3 linked regions of the Callithrix jacchus genome follow. The protein of the gene in region 2 interacts with the protein of the main gene of each other region in a pairwise test. Links are inferred from orthologs where the notes say so. Each region holds a gene or a part of one and is shown on either strand. Other genes may lie near its edges. The genes, in order: EXOSC5, PEG10 and RTL8C.

Region 1 (4,500 bases), on a different chromosome or scaffold from region 2:
GTTGGCCAGGCTAGTCTTGAACTCCTGATCAGGTGATCCACCCGCCTCAGCCTACCAAAGTGCTGGGATTACAGGCATGAGCCACAGAGCCCACCTTTTTTTTTTTTTTTTTTGAGATGGAGTCACTCTTGTCACCCAGGCTGGAGTGTAATAGTGTGATCTCAACCCACTGCAACCTCCACCTCCCAGGTTCAAGCCATTCTCCTATCTTAGCCTCTCGAGTAGCTGGGATTACAGGCACACACCACCATGCCCAGCTAATTTTTGTAATTTTAGTAGAGACGGGATTTTGCCATGTTGGCCAGGCTGGTCTCAAACTCCTGACCTCAAGTGATCTGCCTGTCTCAGCCTCCCATAGTGTTGGGATTATAGGTGTGAACCACTGTGCCTGGCTCATTAACTTATTTTTCACCCTTTTACCCTCATATCCCTCAGTCCCCACTGGCTGGGCCTGCTGGGGTGGGAGTGGGCGTGGGTAGCATCACAGACATGGTACTCTCAGGTCTTCCTCCCCTGGATGGTTCCCTTGGTGGATGCCGGAGGTAGCAGGGGTCGGTGGATGGCAGGCAGGCCCTGCCTCCTTCCCACTGGAATCCTCCATCATCCCTGCAGGTACCTGCACCATCCTAGCCTGAGACTATGGGCCCTTTCCAGGGGGTTTGGGTGGAGCATACGGAGTAAGGTGAGCCACATGGAGGGGAAGACTGTGACAACCTCTCTTCAATTTCCTCAGGCGTTGCAGAGAAGAGCCGGGAGCGGCTGATCAGGAACACGTGCGAGGCGGTGGTGCTGGGCACATTGCACCCCCGCACCTCCATCACCGTGGTGCTGCAGGTTGTCAGCGATGCTGGCTCTGTATCCTTTCCCACAGGCTGCTGCCTCCAGGAAGTCTCCTGATTGCTTCTTTTCTGGTGGCCACATATGCCCTCTCTGCTAGCCAGAAAGCCTTCAAACACTTGACAGGCACCAGCTCACTGAAGGAGAATAAGCATAGCCTGAGTGCTCATGTGCCAGACCCTGTTTGCTGTGCCTTACACACATATCTCATTTAATACAGCATGTGAAACACATGTCCTTCTGATCCCCGTGCAAGTGGCAGAGCCAAGACTTAGACCCAGATCACCTAGTTCTAAGCCCAAGGACCCTGCCAGATGAATGTTCTTATCTTCGCATGTTTCATGTGACAAAACTGAGGCCCAGACAGGGGAAGGGGCTTGCCCAAGGACACACAGCTGGAAGGCAGCACAGGCAGGACTCAAGCCCAGGCCAGTCTGACTCCAGAGCCTGTGCCAATCACCTCTTTTGTTTTTTTTTTTTGTTTGTTTGTTTGTTTTGAGCCAGGGTTTCAGTCTGTCGCCCAGACTGGAGCACAGTGGTGCAATCCCAGCTTACTGCAACCTCCACCTCCCGGGCTCAAGCAATTCCCATGCTTTAACCTCCTGAGTAGCAGGAATTACATGTGCCACCCTAATGCCAGGCTAATTTTTGTATTTTTAGTAGAGAAGGGGTTTCACCATGTTAGCCAGGCTGGTCTCAAACGCCTGACCTCAAGTGATCAGCCCGCGTTGGCCTCCCAAGGTGCTGGGATTACAGGCATGAGCTACTGTGCCCGGCCGGCAATCACTTGTACTCTGCACCTTAGTGGATTTCAGGCTGTCAGTGCTGGAGGCACCCTGAGCAGAGAGCAGCTGAGTCAGGAGCTTGGCCTTGAAAGATCACTGTGTCTGACGTGAGGGAGGTTGAGGTTGAGGACCAGAATTAGGCATTGTAGAAGGCTTTACTGGTACACGGCCCTGAACTAGACAGACGTTTTATGGAAGGGCAGAGAGAGAAGGTATTGTAACTCCATTTTACAGAAGGGGAAAGTGAAGCCCAGAGGAAGTGGTGGGGGATCAGCAGCAGAGCTGGAACTGATTGACTCTAAAGCTGTGGCTTTTGTGTGGCCTGCTAGGCCTGGAGAAGAAACACAGGAGGAAGCTGAAGCAGAGTCAGCTGACTCGCAGCCTGCACTCTCCTCCCATGCTGGGTTCCCTGCAGGCAGCCGTGAGAATGGTTCTTCCTCCACTGCCCTGCCAGCTCTGTCACTGGGGAGTGGCTGCCACCCACATTTCAGGCCTGGCTCTGCCAGTGCCTCCCCCACGTGACTTTGGAAGGTTTCTTCCCCTCTCTGACCCCCTTTGCCAAAACGTGTGGTACGTACTTCAGTACATACCTGTTGAATATTATGATATTCCCTACCTAGCAGATGAGGAGCTTGGGAGTAAGTCACTTCCTCAGGGTCACAAGCTGAAAGAGTAAAGCCAGGTCTGGAACCCAGGGTTACGCAATCCCAGAACCACTTTTAACTATTCTGCCATACTGTCCTGTGACCGATTAGTGATATCTGCCACAGCCATTGGCCCAGTGGAGGGAGGCATGGATCTGCTCTGCTGGCCAGACCTACAGTAGAAACTTCTTAGGCTGGGTGCTATGGCTCAAGCCTGTAATCCCAGGACTTTGGGAGGCCAAGGCAGGAGGATCACCTGAGGTCAGGAGTTTGAAACCAGCCTGGCCAACATGGTGAAACCCTGTCTCTACTAAAAATACAAAAAATTAGTCGGGCGTGGTGGTGGATGCCTATAATCCCAGCTACTCGGGAGGCCAAGACAGGAGAATCGCTTGAAACTGGGGGGCAGAGGTTGCAGTGAGCCAAGATCACACCACTGTACTCCAGCCTGGGCGATGAGTGACATTCTATCTCAAAAAAAAAAAAAAGAAACCAACAACAAAAAAGAAACTTAACCATTGCTCATGGTGCTCAGCTCCTGGCCTGTTGTCTGAATGCTGCCTGCATGGCATTGGTGGATGCAGGTGTACCCATGCGGGCTCTCTTCTGTGGGGTCACCTGTGCCCTGGACTCTGATGGGACCCTCGTGCTGGATCCTACATCCAAGCGAGAAAAGGTAAGTGATGACCAGGGTGGCTGAAAGGCAGAGGCCAGACAGCTCCCCCTCCCTCCCTCCAGGCCTCACTTCTCTGCAGACAGTTGGCTCATGCCACGTCAGTCCCACTTAGCAAGGGCTGCTCCAATCATCGTGGTTCGTTTAGCAGCAAGTGACAGAAACCCAGCTCAAACTTCCTTCGTTGGAAAGGAAATGTATGGCTGGGTGTGGTGGCTCACGCCTATAATCCCAACACTTTTTTTTTTAAAACGCTAGTCAAGCGAAGCAGTGGGAATGCAGAAGGAACAAGGAAATCTGTAACTGGTTGTAATCAATTAGTTGTAAACACCACTGCACTCGGACCAGCCAATCCCAACAATTTGGGAGGCCGAGGCAGGTGGATCACCTGAGGTCAGGAGTTTGAGACCAGCCTGACCAACATGGAGAAACCCTGTCTCTACTAAAAATACAAAATTAGCTGGGCGTGGTGGTGCATACCTATAATCCCACCTACTTGGGAGGCTGAGGCAGGAGAATCACTTGAACCTGGGAGGCAGAGGTTGTGGTGAGCTGAGATTACACCATTGCACTCCAGCCTGGGTGACAAGAGTGAAACTCGGTCTCAAAAAAAAAAAAAGTATGGCCAAGAACAGTGGCTCACACCTGTAATCTCAGCACTTTGGGAGACTGAGATGTACAGATCACCTGAGGCCAGGAGTTCAAGACCAGCCTGGACAACATGGTGAAACCCCGACTCTACTAAAAATATAAAAATTAGCCAGGCATGATGGTGTACGCCTGTAGTCCCAGCTAGTGGGGAGGCTGAGGCAGTAAGATTGCTTGAGGTCAGCCTGGACAACATGGTGAAACCCCGACTCTACTAAAAATATAAAAATTAGCCAGGCAGGCCGGGCGCTGTGGCTCACGCCCGTAATCCCAGCACTTTGGGAGGCCGAGGCAGGTGGATCACGACCATCCTGGTCAACACGGTGAAACCCCGTCTCTACTAAAAATACAAAAAATTAGCTGGGCCTGGTGGCGCGTGCCTGTAATCCCAGCTACCTGGGAGCCTGAGGCAGGAGAATTGCCTGAACCCAGGGGGCGGAGGTTGCGGTGAGCCGAGATCTCGCCATTGCACTCCAGCCTGGGTAACGAGCGAAACTCCGTCTCAAAAAAAAAAAAAAAAATTAGCCAGGCATGATGGTGCACACCTGTTGTAGTCCCAGCTGGTGGGGAGGCTGAGGCAGTAAGGCTTGAGGTCAGCCTGGCCAACATGGTGAAACTCTCTCTCTACTAAAAATATAAAAATTAGCCAGGCGTGATGGCATGTGTCTGTAATCCCAGCTACTCAGGAGGCTGAGGCAGGAGAATTGCTTGAACCCAGAGGGCAGAGGTTGCAATGAGCTGAGATTGTGCCACTTTACTCCAGCGTAGGCAAGTGTGAAACTCCATCTCAAAAAAATAATGAAATAAAACCAGGACCATCAGGATGTCCTCGCTTCACTTCTCGTCCCTGCCTTTCTCAGCTTCATTCTCCGTGGCTAGCATCTTTCCTGAGGCTGGGACTGACCCCGTAAGC
Region 2 (4,500 bases):
GGGAAACTGATATATATATGTTGCTGCTCAGTGCCATTTCTGTCCCACAGAGAATTTTATTTGGGGATTTAAATTATGGTCAGAAAAGTAATTTAGGCAGTCTTGTGGTTTCTGTGGTGGTGATTGTTTGATTTGATAATCAGTTACCTTCTCTGTGGCAGTGGAACAGAATTGTGACAGTTGACCAGGGTACCCCCTTGCCCCCACAGGGCTGATGAATACATTCATTGCGATTTTAAGACTCTCCTCTTGTTTTTATGAGTTTCTATCAGTTGTCGTATTGACTATTTTTGGCCTAGCTTCTCTAATAACAAAAGTTATTGTTTTGGCTTTAATTTGCATAATTGATTTGGTATCCATGTTTGCCTTGAAGTTTCTTTGCCTTGAAGTTCTGTTTCAATAGGAAACTACTTGTTTAGAGGCCTTAACATTCTCTTATAGTTTATAAAGGTAAGCATGCTGTTGATAATATATTATTGAATCATAATCAACAGGTGGTCTTTGAGAAGGACAAGGTCATTTGAACATCAAAAAGTAGTTTGCTTTTTGTATGGTGCTGATTGATAACTTCCCTTTGAGAGTTTGTTTTTGTTTGTTTGCTAATTATTAAAGTAAGCACATAGAACAAGGGATAATATAAATATCAAATCCTTTGTGTCTACATTTTGCTGCTTTGAAGGTATAAGTTAGATTTATATGTTTATCTTTATTTACAGAAATAAGCGCGTTTTGAAAACAAAAAAAAGAAGGAGTGGAAGAGGGGGCCAGGATCCAGGCCTCCATCCCCACAGAAGTGAAGTTACAGCTGGGAGGTCTCCTCCCACCCCAACCGTCACCCTGGGTCCCGACTGCCCACCTCCTCCTCCTCCCCCTCCCCCCAACAACAACAACAACAACAACTCCAAGCACACTGGCCATAAGAGTGCGTGTGTCCCCAACATGACCGAACGAAGGAGAGATGAGCTCTCTGAAGAGATCAACAACTTAAGAGAGAAGGTCATCAAGCAGTCTGAGGAGAACAACAATCTGCAGAACCAGGTGCAGAAGCTCACAGAGGAGAACACTACCCTTCGAGAGCAGGTAGAACCCACCCCAGAGGATGAGGATGATGACATCGAGCTCCGCGGTGCTGCAGCAGCTGCTGCCCCACCCCCTGCAATAGAGGAAGAGTGCCCAGAAGACCTCCCAGAGAAGTTTGATGGCAACCCAGACATGCTGGCTCCTTTTATGTCCCAGTGCCAGGTCTTCATGGAAAAGAGCACCAGAGATTTCTCAGTTGATCGTGTCCGTGTCTGCTTCGTGACAAGCATGATGACCGGCCGTGCTGCACGTTGGGCCTCAGCAAAGCTGGAGCGCTCTCACTACTTGATGCACAACTACCCGGCTTTCATGATGGAAATGAAACATGTCTTTGAAGACCCTCAGAGGCGAGAGGCTGCCAAACGCAAGATCAGACGACTGCGCCAAGGTATGGGGTCTGTCATCGACTACTCTAATGCTTTCCAGATGATTGCCCAGGACCTGGATTGGAACGAACCTGCACTGATTGACCAGTACCACGAGGGCCTCAGTGACCACATTCAGGAGGAGCTCTCCCACCTCGAGGTCGCCAAGTCGCTGTCTGCTCTGATAGGTCAGTGCATTCACATTGAGAGAAGGCTGGCCAGGGCTGCTGCAGCTCGCAAGCCACGCTCACCACCCCGGGCGCTGGTGTTGCCTCACATTGCAAGCCACCACCAGGTAGATCCAACTGAGCCGGTGGGAGGTGCCCGCATGCGCCTGACCCAGGAAGAAAAAGAAAGACGCAGAAAGCTGAACCTCTGCCTCTACTGTGGAACAGGAGGTCACTATGCTGACAACTGTCCTGCCAAGGCCTCGAAGTCTTCACCGGCGGGAAACTCCCCGGCCCCGCTGTAGAGGGACCTTCAGCGACCGGGCCAGAAATAATAAGGTCCCCACAAGATGATGCCTCATCTCCACACTTGCAAGTGATGCTCCAGATTCATCTTCCGGGCAGACACACCCTGTTTGTCCGAGCCATGATCGATTCTGGTGCTTCTGGCAACTTCATTGATCATGAATACGTTGCTCAAAATGGAATTCCTCTAAGAATCAAGGACTGGCCAATACTTGTGGAAGCAATTGATGGGCGCCCCATAGCATCGGGCCCAGTTGTCCACGAAACTCATGACCTGATAGTTGACCTGGGAGATCACCGTGAGGTGCTGTCATTTGATGTGACTCAGTCTCCATTCTTCCCTGTCGTCCTGGGGGTTCGCTGGCTGAGCACACATGATCCCAACATCACCTGGAGCACTCGATCCATCGTCTTTGATTCTGAATACTGCCGCTACCACTGCCGGATGTATTCTCCAATACCACCATCGCTCCCACCACCGGCACCACAACCACCACTCTATTATCCAGTAGATGGATACAGAGTTTACCAACCAGTGAGGTATTACTATGTCCAGAATGTGTACACTCCAGTAGATGAGCACGTCTACCCAGATCACCGCCTGGTTGACCCTCACATAGAAATGATACCTGGAGCACACAGTATTCCTAGCGGACATGTGTACTCACTGTCTGAATCTGATATGGCAGCTCTTCGAGATTTTGTGGCAAGAAATGTAAAGGATGGGCTAATTACTCCAACAGTTGCACCTAATGGAGCCCAAATTCTCCAGGTGAAGAGGGGGTGGAAACTGCAAGTTTCTTATGATTGCCGAGCTCCAAACAATATTACTATCCAGAATCAGTATCCTCGCCTATCTATTCCAAATTTAGAAGACCAAGCACACCTGGCAACGTACACTGAATTTGTACCTCAAATACCTGGATACCAAACATACCCCACATATGCCGCGTACCCGACTTACCCAGTAGGATTCGCCTGGTACCCAGTGGGACGAGACGGACAAGGAAGATCACTGTATGTACCTGTTATGATCACTTGGAATCCACACTGGTACCGCCAGCCTCCGGTGCCACAGTACCCGCCGCCACAGCCGCCGCCTCCACCACCACCGCCACCGCCGCCTCCATCTTACAGTACCCTGTAAATACTTGTCATGTCCTTCAGGATCTCTGCCCTCAAAATTTATTCCTTTTCAGCTTCTTAATCAGTGACTGTGTGCTAAATTTTAGGCTACTGTATCTTCAAGCCACCTGAGGCACATCCTCTCTGAAACGGCTACAGAAGGTCAGCGCCACCCTGGACTGGCACACATCCTAAAGCACCAAAAGACTTTCAACATTTTCTGAGAGCAGCAGAGTATTTGCCAACGAATTATCTCTCAGTTTTCCACCTTGACTACCAATCTAAAATAATTAATAAGTTTACTTTCCAGGCAGTCCTGGAAGTCTGGGTTTTACTTACTAAAACCTCTATCATCATCTAAATTATAGGCTGCCAATTTTCTTGTTTAACATTTACAGAGAAGCTGATACAAATGCTGATTTCTTCATGGAGGGGGAGACAAGGAGGAGGAGGTGGAGGAGGACATGACTTTTCTTGCAGTTTCAGTACTCTCTTTACATCACTAGAGGACCGAGTCCTTATTAAGGAAGCCAAAACTATTGGTGCAGTGTGGAAAGGCTTCCGTGATCATCCTGCTGCACCCTTAGAAACTTCACCATCTTCAAACTCCATTTCCATGGTTCTGTTAATTCTCAAGGAGCAGCAACTCAACTGGTTCTCCCAGGGGCAGGCAAAACCCTTGCTACATGAAACACCTCAGGCCCTCTCAGATGGACTCTTGTATGTTAAGAGTGTGCCATCACATCGTGGTGCAAATCGCATGTACCCAAGGACTCTGGCTTTGACACACACCTTACCATCATCATGCCATAATGGCTTCCACAAAGCATTAAACCTGATAACCAGAGATTACTGGTGGTTCCAGGGGTGTTAGAGGTTTGTGAAATGTGACCACCTCTCAATCACCTTCGAAGGCTAAAGAGTGGCAGATCAAAAGGACTCCAAAATCCCTTACCCACCTTTTAAGAGACTTGTCCTGGTACTTCAGAAAGAATTTTCATGAGTGTTGTTAGTTGACTGGAAAACCACCAGCTGACGTTTTGGAAGTATCTATCCATGTGTCTGCCTCCATATGCATCTGGGCATTCCATCTTCAGTCCCTTCATTAGACTGTAGTGTTAGGATGCATGGAGACAGGGGAAATGATTTAGCACCCAGATTCACACTCCTATCTTTGAACAAGAGGAATTAGGGCTCTGGACACTGTCTTGAGAGTGTGGACTTCCTTAGTGAGCTCCACATTACCTGATGGTAACCACTTCAAAAGGATCAGAATCCACATAATGAAAAGGGTCGCTCTAGAGGATGGAGCTGATGTGAAGCTGCCAATGGATGAAAAGCCTCTGAAAGCAACTCAAAGACTCAAAGCAACGGACAACACAAGAGTTTTCTTCAGCCCAGTGACACCTCTGGTGTCCTCTGGATGTTTTGTGCTAGCCTAGGACTGCCTGACTTAC
Region 3 (3,378 bases), on a different chromosome or scaffold from region 2:
AGGGCAGATTTTATAACAAATTAAGGTATTTCTTAATATTTAACCCTCCTTACATTAACTGCTTGTGGATTTATTATTCTTTTTAGAAAATTATTTATAATTTTTGTGGGTACATAATAGGTATATGTATTTATGGGGTACATGAAATGCTTTAATACAGGCACGCAATGCATAATAATCACATCATGGTAAATGGGGCATCTATCCCCTCATGCATTTATCCTTTGTTCTACAAACAATCCAATTATACTCTTAGTTATTTTAAAATGTAAAACTAAATTATTTTGACTGTAGTCATCCTTTTGCGCTATCAAATACTAGATATTAATAATGACATAATGGAGAATGGGGTATCCATCCCCTCAAGCGTGGTGCATTCCTCTTTGAATATGCTGCTTTAGATTATATTTGCTAATATGTGGGGCTTCTCTATTATAATAATGTCGCAAAGTAGGGAGCCAATAATCTGGTTGAGAGACGCAAGAAGCAGCAGGAAAATGTGCTCACAGAATCTCATACTAGTGGCGTCCAGGGCCAAGGGTCCCTGAAAGCATACCCAAAGGCTGATGAGAGGTGGGGACGAGTGCAGCGGCAGGACTCCTCAACTACCAGAACTAGGTGGGGCTCCTAACAGCTTCTCGGAGCCAGCTCCCCGCGCCCGGTACACCACCAAGTTTCCCTGGTTCTTCCCCTGCTCCCGGTCCGGCCAACTTAGGAAACCTCCGCCCATCAAGTCCGATACGACCCCGCTTCCTTGATGGCTTTAGGCCCCTCTTCGCCAGTGTTTGCCCCACGACGCGCCTGCGCACTAGGGACCACTCGGCCTTGTGGGCGGAGTCCATGAGAGGACTGGAGCTCCGCTTGTGGCCCCGCCCACTCTAGCTTGGGCCGGCCTTAGTGGACACGCATTTCCGGCGACGCCTCGGCACTGACCTCTGCAGAGCCGGGTGGAGCCCATTGACGTCCAGCGAAGCGAAGAGCAGCGATGGACGGTCGGGTGCAGCTGATAAAGGCCCTCCTGGCCTTGCCGATCCGGCCTGCGACGCGTCGCTGGAGGAATCCGATTCCCTTTCCCGAGACGTTTGACGGCGATACCGACCGGCTCCCGGAGTTCATCGTGCAGACGGGCTCCTACATGTTCGTGGACGAGAACACGTTCTCCAGCGATGCCCTGAAGGTGACGTTCCTCATCACCCGCCTCACGGGGCCCGCTCTGCAGTGGGTGATCCCCTACATCAAGAAGGAGAGCCCCCTCCTCAATGATTACCGGGGCTTCCTGGCCGAGATGAAGCGGGTCTTTGGATGGGAGGAGGACGAGGACTTCTAGGCCTGGAGACCCTCGGGCCTGGGGGCGGGTGCTCTGGAGAGGGTCCGCTGTGCCAATGGCCGCCGCCAGGGTCGCCACCGGTGCCCTCCCTCCTCGCCTCCCTCCCTCTCGAGCCGCCGCGATGTCCCCTGCGCTCCTGTCCCCTCCCGCGTAGTGCTTGCCTTTGTTCCAGGAATAGCGCTCCAGGCTCCTGCCGCCGCCCCTGGGCCTCACTTTGGAGCGAGCTGCCGCCGCCCTCTTCTTCCATCCGGCCAGCCCCACCCATGCATATTTGGACGCTGTCCTGCTCTCCAGCTGCAAGCTGGGCTCCTGTTACACACTGGATTAGACCACCCACAGCCGCCGCTGCCAACCCTCCTCCACCCCACGAGACTGCCAGACGACTACATCATTCTGCCCACAGACCTGCGCTGCCACTGCCATCGCCATCCACCGCATCCCAGTGATCTGGACTCACCTCGGAGGTATCTGAGCTGGCCACAGCCCCTGGACAGTGATCCAGACCGCTGGCTGCACCCCAAGGGATCTGTCACCTTCAGCGAGACCTATTTCCTCCCCACTCCCAAAGACCTCTTGTGTTCCTGCCTAGGCCCAGGTGTGCCTGGCAGCCAAATCGAGTCTCTAATTTTCTCTTGTGGACCAGTTAGTTTTGACCATAACCCAGTTTTCTGAGTTTGCAGCTGTCTCTCTGATGTGTGCCTTTTGTTCAACACAGTAACCCCTGCATTCTGCTCTGCTCTAATACACTACCTGGAGAAAGTCTTTTCCTTATTTTCAATAAATGTCAGACATTATTGAAAAGAAATGGTCTCAATGAATATGGCACTTTTCCCTCCCTGGTTCTGTAAATGGGGTCCATATCTTGTTCAAAAGCTATATTCCCTGCTATGCTTATGGCTGATGTTGACACAGAGTCCTGTGGTGTCCTGCAAATGGAGATCCCACCGGTGACCAATCCCAGACGATTAATGTTGTAAACAAGTCAGTTTTGTGCCCCTTAGGAAATGAACCTTAATCTGAATTTGGCCAAAATAAGGTAAGGAATAGTCAGATAGGGTGCTTTTTCTTCCTTTGTTTCCAAAAAACTGACTGAAAGCATATACTCCAAGTGGTTACAAGCCATACACCTCACACAATTGTTGGTGAATACCTCTCATAGTTTTATTTAACCCATTATCAAGGAACTAGCAGAATGGCTTAGATTCTTAAGAAAGAGCATTTACATTTATATTGCTTTAATTGGGTAGGTAGTAGAGAAAGGAATGCAGAACTGTAATGTTAATTTAGGTACAAACTTGTTTAATGAATGACCTGAAATTAATAGGCAGAAAAAGAAAGAACATTAGTCTTCAACATATCTCTGCATGCTAATCTTTGAAATCTGTGCTAACATGTCTCTGCCACTCCATCTGTCTCTGGGAAAAGTTCAACATCCCAATAGAAGCAAATTATTGTAGGGTGGGCTTGTAGGGCAGCACTCAGTCAACACTCAGCCTTTTTTTTTTTTTTTTTTTTTTGAGATGGAGTCTTGCTCTGTTGCCCAGGCTGGAGTCCAGTGGCACGATCTCAGTTCACTGCAACCTCTGCCTCCCAGGTTCAAACGATTCTCCTGCCCCAGCTCCCTGAATAGCTGGGACTACAGGCATGTGTCGCCACGCTCGGTTAATTTTTGTATTTTTAGTAGAGACCGAGTTTCGCCAGGATGGTTTCAATCTCCTGGCCTCATGATCTGCCCACCTCGGCCTCCCAAAGTGCTAGAATTTCAGGCATGAACCACCATGCCCAGCCTCTCTGCCTTATTTCCAATACATGTTATTTTTCCAGAACATACAAATGAGGAATAAATCACAAGAGGTTTTTGTTTGTTTGTTTTTACTTTATTGCTTTTCTGTCTTCATTTAAATAGGTGAAATTTTGCCACTCATCAGCAGAGGTTCATAGGGCTCTATGTGGAGGTAGGTGGAGGTATATTATTGTTGGTTATGTGTGTGATAGTATTTGTATTCCCAGAAGGAGTGGAAACATCATTAATTTATAATTTGGCATCTAGT

The links.
Region 1: the proteins of PEG10 (region 2) and EXOSC5 interact in binary tests that used the Homo sapiens proteins (3 or more experiments, as listed by UniProt). The link is inferred for Callithrix jacchus from reciprocal best matches to the Homo sapiens genes PEG10 and EXOSC5.
Region 3: the proteins of PEG10 (region 2) and RTL8C interact in binary tests that used the Homo sapiens proteins (3 or more experiments, as listed by UniProt). The two-hybrid records come from large-scale screens. The link is inferred for Callithrix jacchus from reciprocal best matches to the Homo sapiens genes PEG10 and RTL8C.

The regions. Positions count from the first base shown.
Region 1 is NC_133523.1:36,663,588-36,668,087, reverse strand, and holds part of EXOSC5 (exosome complex component RRP46), read left to right. Parts: exon of another isoform or gene 1-533; coding exon of another isoform or gene 534-612; intron 613-733; coding exon 734-855; intron 856-2,801; coding exon 2,802-2,942; intron 2,943-4,500. UniProt on the Homo sapiens protein: Non-catalytic component of the RNA exosome complex which has 3'->5' exoribonuclease activity and participates in a multitude of cellular RNA processing and degradation events.
Region 2 is NC_133512.1:54,928,648-54,933,147, reverse strand, and holds part of PEG10 (retrotransposon-derived protein PEG10), read left to right. Parts: intron 1-716; coding exon 717-1,917; coding exon of another isoform or gene 1,918-3,065; 3' UTR 3,066-4,500.
Region 3 is NC_133524.1:130,606,955-130,610,332, forward strand, and holds RTL8C (retrotransposon Gag-like protein 8C), read left to right. Parts: upstream 1-956; 5' UTR 957-985; coding exon 986-1,327; 3' UTR 1,328-2,132; downstream 2,133-3,378.